Linked DNA regions of Alligator mississippiensis. The protein of the gene in region 1 interacts with the protein of each later gene in a biochemical or structural test. Links are inferred from orthologs where the notes say so. Each region holds a gene or a part of one and is shown in the gene's direction. Other genes may lie near its edges.

Evidence for each region. The genes of interacting proteins can lie anywhere in the genome.
Region 2: the proteins of ARF6 (region 1) and HTR2A form a complex in vitro, tested with the Homo sapiens proteins (2 studies listed by BioGRID). The link is inferred for Alligator mississippiensis from reciprocal best matches to the Homo sapiens genes ARF6 and HTR2A.

The regions. Positions count from the first base shown.
Region 1 is NC_081825.1:297,970,524-297,980,911, forward strand, and holds the start of ARF6 (ADP-ribosylation factor 6), read left to right. Parts: upstream 1-6,551; 5' UTR 6,552-6,672; intron 6,673-6,748; 5' UTR 6,749-6,936; coding exon 6,937-7,464; 3' UTR 7,465-10,388. UniProt on the Homo sapiens protein: GTP-binding protein involved in protein trafficking that regulates endocytic recycling and cytoskeleton remodeling. GTP-bound form plays an important role in the transport of multiple palmitoylated proteins form the Golgi to the plasma membrane.
Region 2 is NC_081824.1:412,484,648-412,494,570, reverse strand, and holds the start of HTR2A (5-hydroxytryptamine receptor 2A), read left to right. Parts: upstream 1-4,985; 5' UTR 4,986-5,368; exon of another isoform or gene 5,369-5,711; 5' UTR 5,712-6,024; coding exon 6,025-6,481; intron 6,482-9,923. UniProt on the Homo sapiens protein: G-protein coupled receptor for 5-hydroxytryptamine (serotonin).

The DNA.
Region 1 (10,388 bases):
ACATAAATACATTTTAGAGGTTCATCATTAGGTCTGTAGAGCTGTATCAGAAATATTTCAAGTCAGGAGTGGGCAGTTATTTGGGCTGGAGGGCCATTTAAGGAGTTTTGGTGAGTTGTGGCCGGCTGGGGGAGGGAGGGGTGCTGACCTGGTTGGGGATGGTGTGAACCCACATCTCCAGATCCAAGCAAAACCTTAGTGACTCTACCCTCCACAGGAACGGTGTGGAGGTCATGGAAATACTTTAAAGCAGGGCAACACTAACCCAAAGGGACTGTAAAACATGACAGCAGAGAATTATCAGCAGATCTCATAACGCAGCTCATTTCTGGAGCATTCGCCTCTGATGGCGCTGTGACCATTGGTGTCTGTGTCCAATTCATACTTCCTTATACCAGGTGTGATGTTCTGCGGCCTGCTGGATTCAGCGCTAGCCACTACACAGCTCCACAGGAAAGAGCTCACGGAAAGAAAGATTTTTATTTTACCCATCGGTGAAAAAGGTTACGCTCAAAAGGGCACTGAAATGAGTTCATTCCTGGCCAGTGCCAGATGCTGTCTTTCACTTGCACATGCCAAAAATCAATGGAGATCTGGCTCATTTCTAATTCTACAACTGGGATTGGGATTTGAGGGTGTGAGCTCCTTCTAAAGGTAGTCTTTGGTGCTTCTCCCAACTTAATGCTCTACTTTGCAGCTGCAGCATTTGTGCCATGGCCTCATGGCTTTTTTTGAAACAGAGCCACAACGTCACTGAATCCTAACACACCCGAAACAGCTGAATTCTTTAGAGTTTGGGTTTGCAGAAACTAGAACAAGCTCTCACCCATCATGACAGCCCTGTAAACTCTGTGACAGCTCATGCTGGAGACTCACTGAGCACAATGCCCCAGAAGGTCACAGGATATCACCAGGGAACTTTACCTTGATTAACCACATTTTCTGACATTGAACTTCCTAGGGAGGGCGAGGGGATATTTGCTTGGTCTGGTGCTTTCCTTTAGCTTTGTTCTTGTTGTGGTTGGTTTTTATTAAATGTTTTCTGTCGGAGCTAGTCAGCATTTATGCATTTGTCGTTGTCACTGAGGCCTATAGAGGATGCCACCCTGATGGGTAAAATCCAGGCAGCTGGGTGCCTTTCTCAATCTTACACGCTTTGTTATTGGGAAACGGGGATTACGATCATCTTTGTAAAGTGTTGAGTGCATACTTGCTACCAGGGGCCAGTGGGAGAGGGTCTGTGTCCCTGGGCTGGACAGGTTAATGACGTGGTGCCCGCCAGGAACATCCTTCCTTTCCCCTGACACTTTCCCACAATACAGAGCCCCCCACAAACTGTTTCCCACTCACCCTCCCGCTGCCACCCTATTAAAGCATTGGCATGCGACAACCTACTAGCACGCAGGAAGTGCCTCCTTGTGTCCAGCACCCCATTTTTGGCACCCCAGATGATCACGCCCTCCCTGGGTTGTGTAGCTTGAGCTTTACGTGGATTCAGGTGCTGCGTCCACACAATGCTCCCATGCGCCTGCTTTGGCCAGGCCTTGCAGACCATCCCCCCAGTCCACCCATGATGACGACCTCAACCTCAGTCCTGCTACCTCGCTGTAGCCGGCTCCCCCACTCCATCCATGTGTGTACTTCAACTTTATAGCTCCTGGTTTTCAAAGACGCCCTCTCATCATATTAATTTCCCTGACTCCTCAGTCCATGTCACCAAATCCCTCCCACCTTCCCATACCCCTCTCTCTCCTGCCATGGGCCCTAAAATCTCTCTCCCCTCCTCATCTCCATTTATCCTCCTCCCCTAGCCACTGCCCCAACTCTCTCCCCCTCCATTCCCCTTTCTACTCCTCCATCCCCCTCCTCTCCCAGCCTTTACCTATGCAACTTTTCGTGTTGAAAACTGTCTGAGCACCTTCACTGAATCTTCTGCAATACTCTGATTACATTTCCCAGAACAAAAAGCCCTTTGATAGAGACAGGTTATTGCAACATGGTTACACTAACCATTCAGATTTCTGCCAAGGGTGGATGCCAAATTTGCAATGCCTGGGTACTGCTCCGGTTCCAAACCCACAGCACTTCTGCTCGAGCCAGTTAGGTCATGGGAAAAGTGACTGGGTGGCAACCCTTTGGAGTACTATGTCTGCACATGCACGGTATAATCCACCCAGTTAGGTCGCACCTCTCAGTGCAGCTTAAGCCTTGTGAAATGCTGCGTCCAATTTTGCTCCTCCAATGCCTCCGATAAAGGGCAAGCACTTGAGATCTTCTGGGGGCTACCAGGTCAACCCTAGATATACATGGCTGGAAAGGATCTCAGGAGAGTCTCAATGGTCCCTCCCCTGCACTGATCCTACTAAGAATCCAGGGCAGCTGTCTAACTTGTTCTCAAAAAACTTCCTCTGAGGGTTTCACAACGTCATGCCAGAAAACATGTTGCACTGCTTCACCACCCTTAGAGAAAGTTCATGCTATCCAGCCTAATTCTGTGCTGCAAATTAAGCCACTTTCTTCTTGCCCTGCCAATTTTGGGCATGGAGCATAATCAATCATCTTTTTAACAGCCTTCTGAATTCTGAAAGGCTGATCAGGTCTTTTCTAGACAAACCAGTTTCTTCAACCTTTCCTTTTAAGTTGGCAGAGGAGAGCCACGCGCATGATCAGAGGGCAGGAAAACAGACCTTATGATGACAGGCTGAGAGCCCTGGGACTCTTCAGCTTGGAAAAGCGCAGGCTCAGGGGTGATCTGGTGGCCACCTATAAGTTTATCAGGGGTGCTTATCAGGATCTGGGGGAAAATCTGTTCACCAGAGCGCCCCAAGGTCGAACGGTCACAAACTCCGCCACGACCGATTCAGGCTGGACATAAGGAAAAACTTCTTTACTGTCTGAGCCCCCAAGGTTTGGAATAGACTGCTGCCAGAGGCGGTTCAAGCACCCACTTTGAACGCCTTCAAGACACATTAGGATGCTTATCTTGCTGGGATCCTATGATCCCTGCTGACTTCCTGCCCCTGGGGCAGGGGGCTGGACTCAGTGATCCTCCGGGGTCCCTTCCAGCCCGAATGTCTATGAAATCTATGAAGTTATGATGGCAACACTTTTTTTTTTTGCGGTTGCTGCTTTCTTCTGGACTCCAGTCTCTTTACATCCTTTTTAAAGCGTGACTTAAAGCGCACCAGTATTTCATCTGAAGTCTCCACCCACACCAGTACAGTAGAATAACCACCTTCTGTGGTGGCCATTCCTCTTAATACAATGCAGGATGAAATTTGCCTGTTATGCAACAAAATCACATTATTAACTTATGTTCAGCGTACGCTCCATTATAACCTTGAGATCCTTCTTGGAAATACTGCTGCCTATCCAGTTAGTCCCCATTTTGTATTTGTGCCCTTGCTTTCTCCTTCCATAGCATGCTGCACTTACCTTTATCCCATCTTGGTGCTTGCACACAATTTCTCTCTTTATTACGTTCATTTTGATTTCTGATCATGATCTTGAGAGCACCTGAAACACTTTACAGCTTGGTAAGACTGACAGCTTTATAACTGCCCTCTCGATTGCATCATTCAGGATGTTAATGAAAATAGCCAATGGAACTTGGCCCAGGACAAAGGGAAGTAAGACCCCACTGGAAATATTCTCGTAGTTTGACAGTGAAACATTGATAACTATCTTTTAAGTGTGCTTTTTCAACCGTCTAACAATGACTTCACGTAGAAGGCAGGGTAGACACGCCTTACAGACCAGAGGTTCTCAACCTTGCTGGACTCAAGGCACCCCACGTTGGATGCGAGACCCCTCTGTGTAACTTTTGCCACTTGAGCAGCACCTACTTTCAAAAACGGATTCATACATTACTCCCTTTCATGCAAAGGGGCTTAGCAGTGGGAGTGTGGGACAAACAGGGATAAGCCTGTGGCACCCTTCAAAGGATCTGGCAGCACCCCAGGGTGCCCTGGTATCCTTGATGTAGCAGGCAACAGTCCTTCTGGATCATAGTGCATGTGTGAGAGGTCACCAGGACTTTTGACACACACATCCAGAGAGGAGTTTGGAGGAGGGGAGGCTGGCCAGACCTTCTATCCCCCCACTTTAGTCCATTAAGACAGTATCCAAAGTCCAGACCTTCGGTGCTTCAATAGCTGTAGTTACACCTGCATCTAGGAATCAAATTCAGGTCTCCCATGTGGGGGACAAAGATTGAATCACAACTGTGGGTGCACTATGGATGAGACTCACCCTTATAGCCTAACTCAATAAGATGTATATATAAAGCACTAGCTTTCATGAACTCAAGTTCACTTCATCAGACGCTGTGAAAGGACAGCACAGAGCAGCATATAAACTGGACTTCACATAGACCACGCTTCCCGCACGTGCTCAGGAGAACGTCTTGTCACAATGCTAAAAGCTTCACTATAGCCCCAGCGCATCACATATGCCGCTTCCCCTGGACCCATTCCCTTGTCAGACAAGGAAATTAGATTTGGCTGACACAATCCATGGTCACTGAGTCCATGCTGGTGGTCGGGTTGCCAACCTGCCAGGATTGCCCTGGAGTCTCCAGGAATTAGATATAACTCTCCAGGAGACTGCTGAGAGTCACCTGGGACATAAATGATAGGGCATTCATTAAAATATGCATTAAATGTTTAATCTGATTTATATAGTAGTCTAGTGGGGTTTTAAAATGTAATAGTAATGTGCATTTGCCTTCCTGATGTAAAGTCTACGCACCATAATCTATAAGTGGTATACACAAGCACATACGTGTTGTGTTGTGAGCATGACGGCATTCTGGAAACCTCCCAAAATAGATTCGGAGTTCATAACCCAGGCTGGTGGGATGGGTTGGTTTAGGTTTTACTTGATCCACCTTAACCTCTGCCTGGTGCTTCTAATCAGTTCTCAACATTCACAGACTCATGGCAACCCTTGGTAGACTCATGGCATCCCTTGATAGAGTCAGTGCCCCTTGATAAACTTGCAGCACCCCTTGATAGTCATAGAAAATGAGGGTTGGAAGGGACCTCAGGAGGTCACATCTAGTCCAACCCCCTGCTCCAAGCAGGATCAGCCCCAACTAGATCATCCCAGCCAAAGCTTTGTCGAGCCGGGTCTTAAAAACCTCCAAGGATGGAGAGTCCACCACCTCTCTGGGTAACCTGTTCCAGTGTTTTACCACCCCCCTAGTGAGGGTTTTTCCTAATATCCCTCAACTTCCCTTGCTGCAACTTGAGCCCATTGCTCCTTGTCCTGTCATCTGCCAGTCCAGCTCCTTCCTCTTTTGAGTCCCCTTCAGGTAGTTGAAGGCTGCTATTAAATCCCCTCTCCGTCTCCTCTGCTCTAGACTAAATCACCCCGCGCCCTCAGTCTTTATAAATCACATGCTCCAGCCCACAGACCATTTCTGTTGCCCTCCGCTGACTCTCCCCAGTGTGTCCACATCCTTTCTGTAGCGGGGGGCCCAAAACTGGACACAGGACTCCTGATGTGGCCTCCCCAGTGCTGAGTAGAGGAGAATAATCACTTCCCTCGGCATGCTGGCAACGGTCCTACCCAAGCAGCCCAGGATGCCGTTAGCTGTCTTGGCAACGAGGGCACACTGCTGGCTCATCTCCAGCTTCTTGCCCACTGTCACCCCAGGGCCTCTTCTGCAGAGCTGCTGCCCAGCCAGGCACCCCCAGCCCCCACCGGTGCAGGGCATTGCTCCGTCCCAAGTGCAGGACTTTGCACTCGTCCTTGTTTAATTCCTTTTGACCCAATCCTCCAAGTTGTCTAGGTCACTCTGAATGCTAGCCCTGCCCCCGTGTATCTGCTACTCATGACATCTCTGACAGACACGTGGCACTGCTTGTCAGACTCAGGGCACGGCTCAGAGGCCAGGTCTCAGTTGTCACTGTGTGCTGCAGGAACACAGGAGACTAGAGCCAAGAGCTGGGGACAGGCTGGCTTGGACACTACGGACCGCACTGGAAATATGTAGGTCGATGTTGTGCCCGGCGTGGCCCAGCCCTGCGTCCCCCACGTGGCTCGGGCCCGCGCGGCCTGGCCCTTTAAGAGGACCCCGGGGCACCCCCGCGCGCAGCTGCTGACGTGGGATCGCGTGGCGCCTCTCCCCATAGAAACCACACCCCAGCCGGTGCGCGCATGCGCACACCCTCCCTTTAGCCCCCTCCTTCCCCAACTGAGCAGGCGCAGCCGCAGCAAGGCGGAAGTCGAATTTAGGCGGCGCCCGGCTCTGCGCATGAGCAGCGCGCGTCCCGGGAAAATTACGCGAGCCAAGGCCGCTCCCTTGTGTTCCGGTTGCGCAATGCCGCGCAGGCGCCCTGCCCGCCTTCCTCCTCCTCCAGCAGGCTTCGCCCCACCCGAGTGACGTCAAGCGCATGCGCACACCCCAGCGGGGGCATCACCGTTGGCGCGTCCCTCTCCTCCGCATGCGCGGTGAGGCCCAGAGCCGCTGCACGCATGCGCGGTGCGTCTTGCGGCCGGGCGTGCGTGGGCGCGGCGCAGGCGCAGTGCGCTCGCGGAGGGGGAGGGGCCGCCTCATAACGGCCGGTCCGGCCGGGCGGGCGCGTGGTGCGCCTGCGCGTTGCGAGCTGAGGGGAAGTGAGGCGGGCTTTTCCGGCGGCCTGAGGGGAGCGGCGGCGGCAGTGGCAGGTAACGGGCTGCTCCGCGAGGCCGGGTCGGGCCCCTCACGGGCGGGCGCTCACCTTGTCTCTCGGTCCCTCCGCAGGCAGGAGCCGGTGCCGGCTTCCATGAGCTGAGGGGCCGCCGGGTGCCGACGGGCTAAGCCGGGCCTGGCCTGGGACAGCGGCCCACGCCCCCCCACCCCCCTTGCTGGGCCGCGCCCGTGAGGAGCCCCCTCCCCCCCTTCCTCCCCCCGCCCCTCCCCCACCCCGGGGCCCCGTGGATGCCGCCGAGATGGGCAAGGTGCTGTCCAAGATCTTCGGCAACAAGGAGATGCGGATCCTGATGCTGGGGCTGGACGCGGCGGGCAAGACCACCATCCTGTACAAGCTGAAGCTGGGCCAGTCGGTGACCACGATCCCCACGGTGGGCTTCAACGTGGAGACGGTGACGTACAAGAACGTCAAGTTCAACGTGTGGGACGTCGGCGGGCAGGACAAGATCCGGCCCCTGTGGCGGCACTACTACACGGGCACGCAGGGCCTGATCTTCGTGGTGGACTGCGCCGACCGCGACCGCATCGACGAGGCGCGCCAGGAGCTGCACCGCATCATCAACGACCGGGAGATGCGGGACGCCATCATCCTCATCTTCGCCAACAAGCAGGACCTCCCCGACGCCATGAAACCCCACGAGATCCAGGAGAAACTGGGCCTGACGCGGATCAGGGATAGGAATTGGTACGTGCAGCCCTCCTGTGCCACCACGGGGGACGGACTCTACGAAGGGCTGACGTGGTTAACGTCCAACTATAAATCCTAATGGCGGGCGGGGGGGGACACGCACGCGCGCACACATACAAATGAAACTCTTTTAGGCTATGGAGAATTTAAGGAAAATGAATAAATAAAGAAATAAAGAATTAACCCACGTGGCTTCCCAGAAGACCAGTTCTCGGCAGAAAAGCAAAGCATCCATAGGATTATGATCACCTCTTCTCCCACAACCGCCCTTTTCTTCGACACACTGACTGGATTCCTATTTTAACTCTTCTTGCTTGGCATTAGGATGCTCTAATCCTCAAATGTGACATGAACACAAGCACTAGATGCTATGGCAGACTTCCAGCAAACAAGGGGAAAAGACACGTTGTAGATTTGCTAAGTAACTCTTTTTTTTTTTTTTTTTTTTTCATTCTTTCTTGACTACCCTCTTTTTTTTTTTTTCCACCCCCATTCCTCTGGGGTGGGAGGAGTAAGGGTACCTCTGGGTGTATGCTTTCTGGCTCTTTTTTTTTCTTTGAATTGCTGTAGATTGCTACTTTCTTGCATTCATGCAGAATATGTTGATAGGTCTATTTCATCTAGTAAACTAAAAATGATTGCTTAAAATCAAACCGCAGTCTGTCTTTTTATATGGAGGACTTTTTTTAAAAAAAAAAAAAAAGTTCTGCTGATCTGTAATTAGTGACTTGAAATTTTGTCTTTTTCATCTCCAAGACTAATATGAAATAAAAAAAAATGTTTGCCTACAGCAGCAGGTAGTGAGAATACCATTGTAATGCGTTCAAAGTGTATATCAGGTGTAATGTTAACTAGGTAATGTAAGAACTGCTTGAAATGTCAGCTGTGAAGTTCTGAACCATACATCATGCATGAATAGGGATGCAAGTAGGTCCCATACAGCATAGCAACCATATAGTGAGTAAGACGTGAATGATGTAATAGTTTCAGGGTATACTCCTATTCAGTTCCTGTTGCATTGCAGCTAAATATCACTGACTCTTGTGATCATAATCAGTTACACATCAGACTCCCATTTCAATGCAAGAGATCTCCAGAAAATGTAGCAATAATGTGATGATTTTTACTTAAAATCAAAACTGTGGGCAAAAATCAGACCCTGACTTCCTTGTCTTGCAGTACAGGAAATGTTTGTGTTGACTCCTTCCCTCCCCCCCCTTGCCTTATGTGATTTTTATGTAGCTTTAAAGGAGCTGCAGAGAAACAACTTCTGTTTCTGTACCATAAACACTCAAGTAAGAAAGCTCACTCCTAAGCTTTTAACTGAAAGGTGTTTTTTTTTTTCTTGTTTTCTTTTTATTTTTTTTAATGCTTGAATAATTACCATTTAGAGGAAGTGATTATCAGTTTAGTTTTTGCAAGACCACAAATTTTAATTAATGCAAGTAGCTGCAAATGGCCTTAGCCCTCTGTTCCAGTAGCATGTTAATATAATTCTGTATGAAAGGATCTCCATTGGCTGTCCGAACTTAAATCCAGTGAGTAACTGCTCAGTCAGGGTGGGGAGAAGAGTGAGTATATGACTATGAATGTAAATCTCCATATTTAGGTCTTAAAGGGCAAGCAGCTCATTTGCTGTATCGCAGTTTTCAGATGCCTGTGACTGGCAAAAAAACCAAGTGTTTGAGTAGGTATGAAATGAGTTCAATCAAGTATTAATACTAGGTGCAAAAAAAAATTGTAAAGCAGCTGGTTCTTATTCAGCCTTAAAGATTAACTTCAGATTTCCTCAAGGAGTTAAAGTCTATTGGGGAATTCTAGGAATGTATGCTACAAAACCAGAAGAAAATGGCTTTTCTCTTTTTTTTTTTTTCTTTTTTTAGGGTATTAGATTCACATTTAAATTGGGGCATTACACTACATTTTTGCAATTTTAACTCTGCATGTTAAATATAATGTACATGGAGCTTTTTACCAAAGATGTATGGGAAGATTAAAAATTGAGTGCTTAAGGCCACTTGGAAAAAATTGGTGATTAGAAAATGGCTCTAAAGAGGGACACAATTGGTGTGAATTGCAAATCGCAATGAAAGGGTTCTTGATGCTAGAAAATGGAGCAGTGATTCCTAAAGAAATCTGTGTAAATGAAAAACCAATTGGAGAAGCTAGCTAAAAACCAATGATCCTAAATTCCCAGTTTGGATGGGGAAATGAAAGATCTCTACTTAGTCTCATAACTGAAAGCTCATTGCCCTATTTTCTAGCTATTACAAATTCCAGAAGCCTTTTATTTCAGTTTAACTGATCAAACATAATGTGGTGTAAAGGTGCAGAAACCAAAGCACCAAGATACAATATATTGTTTTCTTCTGGGGAAAAAAAAATAAAGCCAAGCACAAAGTAGATGCCTAAACTGGAAAACTTGAAGCTCTGTTATACTGATGGTTCTTAAACATATTCTCAATCAAAATGAAAACTTGGGTTCTTTCAGTTTCAGTCTAGAGTTAATATGTACTGCTTTCTATCTCCTCAGACATGGTTTGGGGATAAGCCTAAATTGCTTCATTAGACTTTTTGCATTAAGTTGAATTCACAATTTTGTATTTTCTTGGTAATTTTTGTTACTTTAGATATCCTGTTTTGTAGGTAAAAGGATGAACTTTAATTATACTTCTGAATTTTTTTTTAATGTCATTCTGGGAGAAGTAACTTTAATTACTGAAACTTGTGTGGCAGATGATTAAAAAATAAACACTTTTTGCTACTGAACAAAAGATAAATGCTTCATTTTGAAAATGTCCTCTAATAGGGTTATAGTTGAAACTAACCAGTGGCTTCAATGCACTACTTAAGCCTGCAGGATAAAGTAGCAATCTGTGTAAGAATTCCAATCGCTTCAAAAATGAATCTGAAGTTTAAGTGCATCAACCTGTGTTCTTGTGAATTTTATGAAGTAACTTGGAGTAAGGGGTTTTTTTTTTGTTTTGCTTTTTCTGGTTTTTT
Region 2 (9,923 bases), on another chromosome or scaffold:
TGTCTTTATTACTAATGCAAGTATTCAGCCCACAGAGACAATAGGCTCTAGTGTGTAATGCTCTACCATTATCTGAGTGGAAGGTTGTTTAATTCAGAATAGAAGACTTATGTTGGGACCTGCAATTTTCAGAGCTGACTCCTTCACATGTACCATTTTGTAAAAATCTGTGGGTTATATTTGTTCTTTAGGCTTGAATTTTTCCCATTAACTGCACAAAATGTAGACCAACTTCTGTAAGTGGAGGAGCACCTCCAAAGAATATAGGTGCCCTCAATTCATCAGAAAAGCAGGAAACTTATTGCTTTATTTGATAAAACCCTATGGTTTCAGTTGAATATTAAGGAACCTGGTGTTTTCTTAGGGAAATAATTATAGGTAAATACTAAATAATAATTATTGATGTATGTTTCCAATAGACTCCACAAGGTACTAGGTTCTTTCCAGGCAGAGAAAGGGGAAGGAAGGACACTTCAGCCAAAGGCACATTATTCAGAAAACCTGAGAGTTATACCTGCGCGAGCCTAGTCAAGATGCCTTAAACCAGACCCAAAAAGAGACAAAGGTGCCTAAAGTAGAACTCAGGCAAAATGTAGCTAACTAAAGTCCAGCTGAACAGTTAAAAAAACAAACAAACAAACAAAAACTACATATCTGTTTAGGCACCTGAGGCAACGTCCACATGAGCATGGCACGGATGCATGGTACATGGTGCCACAAATCGCACATGCAGGCATGCCCCATGCTACTGCCTTGCAGTGCAAGAGGGTTTTTTTCCCCAGGGTCACACCAAAAAAATGTGGGGTGGCTCACGTAGTGGCAGTGCATGCTGCCTAAAACCAGACCCTGTCTGGCTGGAGCCACACTCCAACTGCCGGCCAGGCTCCCAGCTGCAGGAGTGCCATGGCTGCAGCTCCCCAAAGCCCCCAGGACCCCAGGTAAGGCTGCTGAGGCCGGCACAGTTGCTGGGCCCAGCCTCCCCTAGCTCACCCAGGGTAACCTGCCATGCACCAGAGTGCCCATGGCATGGGCATTCCCCAGGGACAAGTAGCAGTGGCACAAAATGTATCTTTCGTCGTGCATCCCCCCCGAAGGGCTAGCTACATGGTGAGTAATAATAATATCAGAATCAAAGTGATACAAAAGAAAGCACGCAAACTAGAAGGAGCAGTCTCTAGAAAGAGATTATTAAATCCAGCAGGAATGTAATTTTTTGCTCACAAGGTGTGTTGCTGCTACTTGTCCCTGGGGAAACAAACAACCACGCTCATTTGGATGTGGCCTGAAAGGGCAAAGGCAGCTATGTTTTTACTGGTAAACTTAAGTAGGCACCTACATTTGTGCTACTTGCATTAAATGATGCCACCTTGACAAAGATGAGTATCTCAGCCACTGTCTCATACCTATATCCATTTGGGATTTATTAACTAGCCATTTCTGGTCCTAAGTCTCCTCAAGGTACTGATCCAGTAGGTGCACTCAGAACACACCTAATGCATGTTGGCAGGGTTAAGTTCAGCAAAGAGCACAATAGGCCTTGCCACTCTTATGCACGGCTTGAGGAGGGAGTGATGCCAGTGTCCATGTCTATCAACAACTACTAGCTAAAACAGTTGCTCAGAAAATGGAGGACCTACTGTTTAGGCCCTTCTTAGCCTCAGGGATCTCCTGGTATCAAAAAAACAGCCACGCTACAAATTAGCAGTGTAGCGAATGGGTGCATGTGCACTGCATGTAGTTTGTGGTGCCTCAAACTACTTTTGAGGTGCTGCAAACTGGACGTGGGCACTCATCTGGATGTGTCCCAGGAGTTCAAAGCCACAACTCCCAGGAAAGTATGCTATCCACCAGTGTGGGCTGGGGTTGGGGGTTGTGTTTTGTGAATTAAAACAGTCACTTAAAGGAATGGAAGATGACTGAAAAGTAGGAACAGAGAGAGGCTATCAGAAATAGCTTCAAAACAAGGGGAATATAGTTCAAACGAACGCCAACTTACGTAGAACAGGACTATTCAGAAGAGAAAAGGGTTATTATTACCTGTGGAGTGCAGAGATTTTAGCAGAGATAGCAGGTAGAGTGTAGTGAGTCAGAAAGACATTTTTTGGGCTTAATCTATGATTTTTAGTGTTATGAATGTTATAAATGTTGGCTCCCACGTCTGTCTTTTGAAGGTGTTTTTCAGATTTCCCTTGACTAAAAGGACTGTGAGGTCAGAAACAGAGTGGTTGTTCCATGAAAAGTGTTTTCCTTTTTTCTGTAATTATTCATTCTGTATTGTTGTACCTGTGATGGTTTAGGAAATGTACTAGAGGCAAGGGTTTTTTGTGATATCTTTTACGGGACCAAGCGTATAGCTGGGAAGGATGTTGGACAAGATTTCCAACACAGGGTTGTACAACAACACTCCAACCCTACTACAATGTGGAAAAGAATAGTCAACTAGTCTCCCATAAGTGTCATGGCACAGATATTACAAAGGAATAGGAAAAATCACGGAAGGGGGTTTAATTCCACTATTTATCCCAGAACACTTTACATGACTGTACTACTTCATTTGGCAGTGGTGTAGGTTGTAGCTGTGTTGGTCTAAGGACATAGGCAGACATGGTTCCTTGGGTGAATTTGATATCTTTTATTAGACCAACCCAAATGGTTAGAGAATAGTTATTAAGCAAGCTTTCAGGTTCAAAAACCCTTCGTCAGGCTAAGGAAGTTTCAGCAGTTGGTGTGTGCTCTTCCTGGATAGAATGAAAAGTAAAGAAGCCAGAGGCTGGGCTGGGGAGTCAGTTGCCAGGCAGATTATAATGTGTCAAAAATCCAATGTCTATATTTAGTCCATGATCTCTAGTATCCAGGAGGTTGATGAAATGGAGCTCATAGGCTCGTCTCTGGGGAGTGTTGTGTAAGTTTCCCTTGAGGATCAGGACTGAGAGACTGGAGAGATAGTGGCCCTCCTGTGAGAAATGTGCCCCCACCGGTAATTGGGTATTTCTGTCTTTGATAGATTTCCGGTGTGCGTTCATTCTGGCGTGCAGTTGTTGTTTGGTCTCTCCTACGTATTTTCCATCAGGGCATTTGGTGCATTGGATGAGGTATATTACATTTCTGGAGGTGCAGCTGTAAGATCCAGGAATGCTGCTGGCTCTGTTGTGGGGTGTAGTAATAGTGGGGGTGGTGGAGATGTGTTGGCAGGTTTTGCATTTCTTGTCATGGCACGGTCTGGATCCTTTTGGTGTGTTCTGGGCTTAAGGAAGTTTGCTTCTGGTGATGAGGTTGGTGAGGTTCGGTGCTTGTTTGAAGGCTAGGATGGGTGGCTCTGGGAAGATCTTTTTAAGAATAGGGTCTCTTTCTAGTATGGGTTGCAGTTGTTTGAGGATTTTTCGTGCAGGTTCAAGGGAGGGGTGATATGTCATAACCAGCGGTGTGCAATTTGTGGGTGTTTTTCTTCTGTACTGCAGCAGTTCTTCATGTGGTATCTAGGTGGCTGTTTCAAACATGCGATCTACCTCTCTGGAGGAGTGTCCTTGTTGGGTGAAAGCCTTTTTAAGATTGGTGAGGTGGCAATCCCAGGTGTTCTCTTCAGTACAAATGCGGTGGTATCTGAGGGCTTGGCTGTATATCACAGCTTTTTTGGTGCGTTTAGGGTGATTGCTGGTTCTGTGCAGATATGTATGTTGGTCTGTGGGTTTCTTGTATAATGTGGTTTGTATTTTATCATTCTGGATATTGATCATCGTGTCTAAAAAGGAGATGCTGGTGCTGGAGTATTCTAGAGAAAGTCGGATGGAGGGATGGTGATTGTTGAATTTCTGATGGAACTCAATCAGAGATTGTAGGTTTTCAGTTCAAATGATGAAGATGTCATTGATATATCTTAAGTATAGCAAGGGTTTGATGGTGTAGTTCTTGAGGAAGTCTTCTTCCAGGTGGCTCATAAAAAGGTTTGCATACTGTGGGGCCATTTTAGTGCCTATAGCTGTTCCCATCATCTGGAGGAAGTGTTGGTTATTAAAAGTGAAATTGTTGTGTGTGAGGATGAAGTGTATAAGGTCAGTAATATCTTTGGGTCTGTAATCTGTGTTGTAATCTTGTTCCTGTAGATATGTAAGGCAGGCTTGGATGCCATCCTGGTGTGGGATGTTGGTATATAGGATGGTAACGTCCATGGTGGCTACGAGTGTGTTGCTGGGAAGGTGGTCTGTGAACTCCATTTCATCAACCTCCTGGATACTAGAGATCGTGGACTAAATATAGACATTGGATTTTTGACACATTATAATCAGCCTGGCAACTGACTCCCCAGCCCAGCCTCTGGCTTCTTTACTTTTCATTCCATCCAGGAAGAGCACACACCAACTGCTGAAACTTCCTTAGCCTGACGAAGGGTTTTTGAACCCGAAAGCTTGCTTAATAACTATTCTCCAACTATTTGGGTTGGTCTAATAAAAGATATCAAATTCACCCAAGAAACCTTGTCTGCCTACTTCATTTGGGGCACTTTTCTTCCAAATAGGTTATCAGGGTTTATTTGTACCTTCCACTTCCTGACAAATAATTAAATTATGATTACTTTTTATTTTTTATAAATATCTGTTGGCAGTTTGGTTAGGTCATCAGCACACACCCAGGAATCAGATAAGGGAGGACTGAACATGAGTAATTCAGTTTAGGGTTAGCATAAAAGCTGCAACCTTTAGGATGGAAAAAGCTGCACATTTACAGTTTTACCAGCATGTACCATTACTATCTTTATTTATTGTCTTCCTCAAACATTCACCCCACAAGATATTATAATTGTACACAGCTGGCTTGAAGGGCATCCTTTGCAAAGGGAAAATGTGCATTTTCTTAAACAAAACTAAGACCTCAAAAATGATCAAATGAAAAAACTGGCAGTTACCAAAAAAAGACCCTATTTGGTCTGTCCTCCTTTGCTGTTGCTACCTTGCAGTTTATGACATCTAGATAGTGGGAGGTCTGACAAACTGAACAAGGCAGTGAGCAAGAAATTACATTCCTGTTGAAATCAGTAATCTCTTTCTGGAGACTGCTCCTTCTAGTTCGTGTGCTTTCTTTTGTATCACTTTGAGGGGGGGTCTGATATTGTTATTACTCTCCATGTAGCTTGCCCTTGGGGGGGAAAATGCACAAGGAAAGATACAGCAAGCAGCCTCTCTCTCAGAAGAAAAGAACAAGACTGGCTACACAGGAACTGGCTTCTCTCAAGTGTACAGTTTAGAAGTCAACGTAACTGTAATCAAAATACTAGTGTTTTTGTGGCCACTAGAGAGAAGGGACTCAGAGAAGGATATGGCAAATCAGAGTACAAGGTGGATCTAAGGAACTTTGAATGTGGGCTCTCAGCAATGTAAGTCTTCCTATACTATATTTTTAATTGTAGCATTTAGTCATTTTATTTCTATTTTGAAGCCATGCTGAGCCAAAAGATACTATTAGATATTAAAATCAATGTGGAATATTACTTGTAATCACTGGTGTGAGACTCAGAATGATATTGAAATATGACAGAAGTCAGAGACTATCAGCCAGTAATATGGAAGATGAACTATAAATAAGAGCATATCTTATTATTGTAAGAGTTAGATGCTGGGTGGAATCTTTAATCAACTTTCTCATTGTGGAACAGAGCTCTGCTGTTTTGTATAGCAAGCTATTTTAATACTGCTGCATTTAAAATTGTGTGATTACAGTTATGAAGAGCAATAAGATGTAGCTACAGAAGAGAGTCCTGATGGTTGCAAAAGTTTTTTGCCCATTGTTTTTGCTCTCCAAAACCTCAAGTCCACATTTTCTATTCTCCATATTGATTTTGTTTTTCAACTGGATTTTTAACATATGCTAATAAGGGACTTCACAGGGAGCCGAAAAGAAAGTATTTCAGCGTTCAGAATAATTCCATCCGGATAATAAAGAAAAAGTAATTATCAAAAAATAATCCTTCCTTTACACCAGCTTCAGCTTTGGACAACAAAGGAATATAAAGCCTGATGGTGACAAAAATTTATGCTTTCAGCTTTTTACTATACATACTCACCAGTTTCAGCAATGGATATTCTTTGTGATGAGGAGAGTTCTGTGAACCCAACTACAAACTCCTTAATACAATTAAATCATGAGAGAAGACTTTACAAAAATGTTTTTGTATCTGGAGAGGTTAACACATCTCATCTGTTTAACTTAACTGTGGACTCTGAAAACCTAACTAATCTTTCGTGTGAAGGCAGTCCGAGCCCACCCTGCTTTTCATCATGGATTCAGCTTCCAGAGAAAAATTGGCCAGCTTTGTTGACAGTTATTGTGATTGTTCTAACCATTGCTGGGAATATTCTTGTCATCATGGCTGTGTCACTGGAGAAAAAGCTACAGAATGCCACTAATTATTTTCTAATGTCACTCGCAATAGCTGATATGCTGTTGGGTTTCCTTGTCATGCCTGTGTCAATGTTAACCATACTGTACGGTGAGTATCACCTGTGTAACCTACTGCATATATTGGGTAGCCTAATAACAGCAAACACATGTTATTATTGTTACAGTTTGAGGATTCAAGTAAAATATAAATGCAATCTAGCTTTTAAGATATAAGCTTGCTATCTCCCTCCCTATAATGCTATAATTGTTAAATATAGTAAAGAGAAGAATCAGTACCTATGAGCTCATTTCCTTTTAACTTCCAATTATAGATGTTTTAAATACAGTCCAAAAATCAAATTACCACTTTGATTCTGAGGGGATTATCTTGTTTTCTATGAAAATGCTGTGTTCTCAGTATTCTCAGTTTTGCCTCATATACTTTTGTCTCATATACATATACTTTTCAGTTTTCCTAATAAGTAAGTAATATCCTGTTAATACTTTTGCTCCACAAATATGCACAGGCAAATCAATGCCTTGGTGCACTTAGAGTTAAAATAACCTGCCTCATATTTTTACTGGTAATTAATTTACTGGTAATTAATTTCAGTTTCAAATAACCATCTTTACACTACGATCTTTATTTATATTATTTACCATTAAATCTTGGAAGAAGTATTTTCAAGGGAGCCTAAAATGTAGACAGGAGTTATTCATGACCAGTGTTTAGTAACATTTGAAATTGAATAAATTAATATTCCCTACCTTTTCTAAACAGCTATTATGTGAAAGTGTAAAGTGAACTAAGAAGCATGGTTAACTGTGATGCTGTTTACAGGTGATGAGCAAATTTCTTGGCATTTGAACCAAAATCTTTAGCAGTCTGGATCACCGAGGAAAAGCAGAAAACTTAAGGGTTAAATATAGACATTTTCCATGCTGGTTTCATCTTCAAATTTATAAAAAAAATACCCAGTATCACAATACAGGAGAGAAAAGAAAAAGAAATGGGGGAAGGGGGGATCTAATTTGAAAGATTTAAATAGCTTTTATGCTAGATTGAGTGTTACAGTTTTAAAGTACCAACCACTTCACAACAACTTGAGGGAGATTTCATTTGGAAAACTGCAATATAAGAATTTATTTCCCAATTTCCCTCTTTCAATTTTGCTATTTTTACACAAAGTATCCTGGATGGCATTAGCAAATAGGGATTCATATAAGTGTTCAATAAAGATTACCTTTGATGGTAGGGAAGACAATGCAAAATAAAGCTGTAGGGGCACTAATTGCTTGATCTGAGATATAAGTGAAAGACTCAAGCTCTGAATGATTCACTGAGGTGATCAACAGGGACTCCTGCTGGCCACTCCCTGCCACTGAGAAAGCTAATTTTTGCCTCTGCTTGGAAACCCACGTTTGATTGTGACCATTAATTTTAATTGCAGTATTTCTGTGATCAAATGATTTTTCTCTCTTTTTAACTTTGCACTGTGATGTCTGTTGCCAGAGGAAAGATCTCCTCTCAGGCTAAATGCATTTGAAAAACCAGTCATTCAGGCATACAATTTCCGAGAAATGCAGCATCAGCATGACGCACTGGATCACTTGTCACCATGACCAGCAAACAGCTTGCAGAAAAGCCTCCTGCCAAACTGAGAACTACCCCTCAGTTACCTAGTGTCCATACATCCCAGCCTCCCACCCCAACAGCTTACAACAGGGATGGGCAAAATACAGTCCATGGGATTTTATCTAGCCAGCTCCAGATCCTTTGGCCCTGCCTAGCCCAGCCCAGGACAGCCTGGGCTGTGGTGCGTACAGTTGGTCCCACTGGCCCCAGGTGCGCAGCAGGGCTGGGGCAGTGTGGTGGCCATACCTCACTTCCCAGCAGCCCTGGCAGTGGCAGCAGCTCCTTCCAGCTTCTGCTTCCAGTGTCAATGACACTGCCAGCCCTAGCGCTGGCCCTGCTGCCTGGGCACCCTGACCAGTCTCCCCTGTGCCCACTGCCAGGGGCACTAGATCAAGTGGAAGAACAGGGTCTCCATGGAGACTAGCTTGGGACCCCCATGGGTATAGCACACTCAGCCAGGTGGGTGGGATGGGGCCATGGGAAGGCAGGGACTGGCATCTGGGAACAGGATGGGCAGGTGGGGCAAGGGCCAGGAGCAGGATCATGGGGTGATGACAGGATGGGGCCAGGGCAGAGCCATGTCCTCATAAGACAGATCATGACCAGGCCAACCAAGCAGTGCAGTGTGGCCTAATCCAGTCACAATCTGTTGGGTCAGCCCCATGCTGCTGGGCCATACTGTACTGGGGCTGCCCAGGCATTCCAGTGCTGGCACAGGAGAAGCAGGAGCTGGGTCATGGACACGTTCTCCACCCCCTTTCCAAGTTGGGCCACTTACTATCCATTGTGCAGGGTGTGGATCTGCCCTGGCCCCGAACCCAGCCCCACACTGTCTGTGCCCCGCAAGCCCAGTCCTGGCCCTGGCCCTGTCTGCCCATTCTGCTCCTGGATACCGCTTCCTGCCCACCTGTGGCCCCAACTCACCCATCCAGCCAAGCACATCCTGCCCACCAGGGTCCCGGGCCAGTCTCCATAGAGACCCTGCCTGCTCACTCCATCTAGCGCCCCTGGACCATCTAGTAATCTACCATTTAGAAAGTTTTGGTGAGTTGTTGCGGGGGAGGGTGCTGACCCAGCCCACAACAGCTCACCAAAACTCCCTAAATGGGCCTCTAGCCCAAATAAGTGCTCACACATGCCGTACATTCATCTCCCAAGAAGTAAGATATAGGACTGACAGAGAGATCATAGTCAAAATTTGCATTGAACTCAAAACTATGAACTCAACCCTGGGGGATGCAGGATTCTTCAATTCCTATTATGTGTTCTCTCAGCACCTGTAGAACTTAGGCAGTCCTATGTTAGGTCAGGCCCTAGAGTCTCACCCAATTCCAGATTAAGTCAGAAAGAGTTCTGCCTTTGGTTTGAGTGGGTGTAGGATTTATCCCTTAGGTTTGAATGCCCTCTCCAGGTATAAATTATTAGCACCCTCAAATTAAAATCCTAGATATAAACACACTGGACATTAAATGCTTCAAGGAATTGTTAGAATCCAAGTCTGAATGTGGTTTCTGCCTCAATTTGAGGTGTGTTTGTGAAATAGTTATTCACAAACCTGCTTTATTATTTGTATTTCAGTATTCCACTGGTCCTTTTTATGCTGGTACTATAACCCATGGGTTACAAATTGGCCCACCACTACTTTATATACCACATATACACACACATATGTACACACACATCTAGCCCTAAGAAAGCTCCATTAAAAGAATAGCATTTGCAAAACCAAAGGTTAAAACAGTAGGGAAGAACAAAATAAATGTTCCATGTGCCTTCTTAATTCATCCTCCTTATGAGTCTGCATTATAATACAGAGCTGTCAAACATGGCATGAGAAGCCTATGGCACAGGCAGGAGCCGAAACCAGCTCTTTGGATAGCAAACCAGAGCCTTGAACAAAACAGGCCCTTTCCTT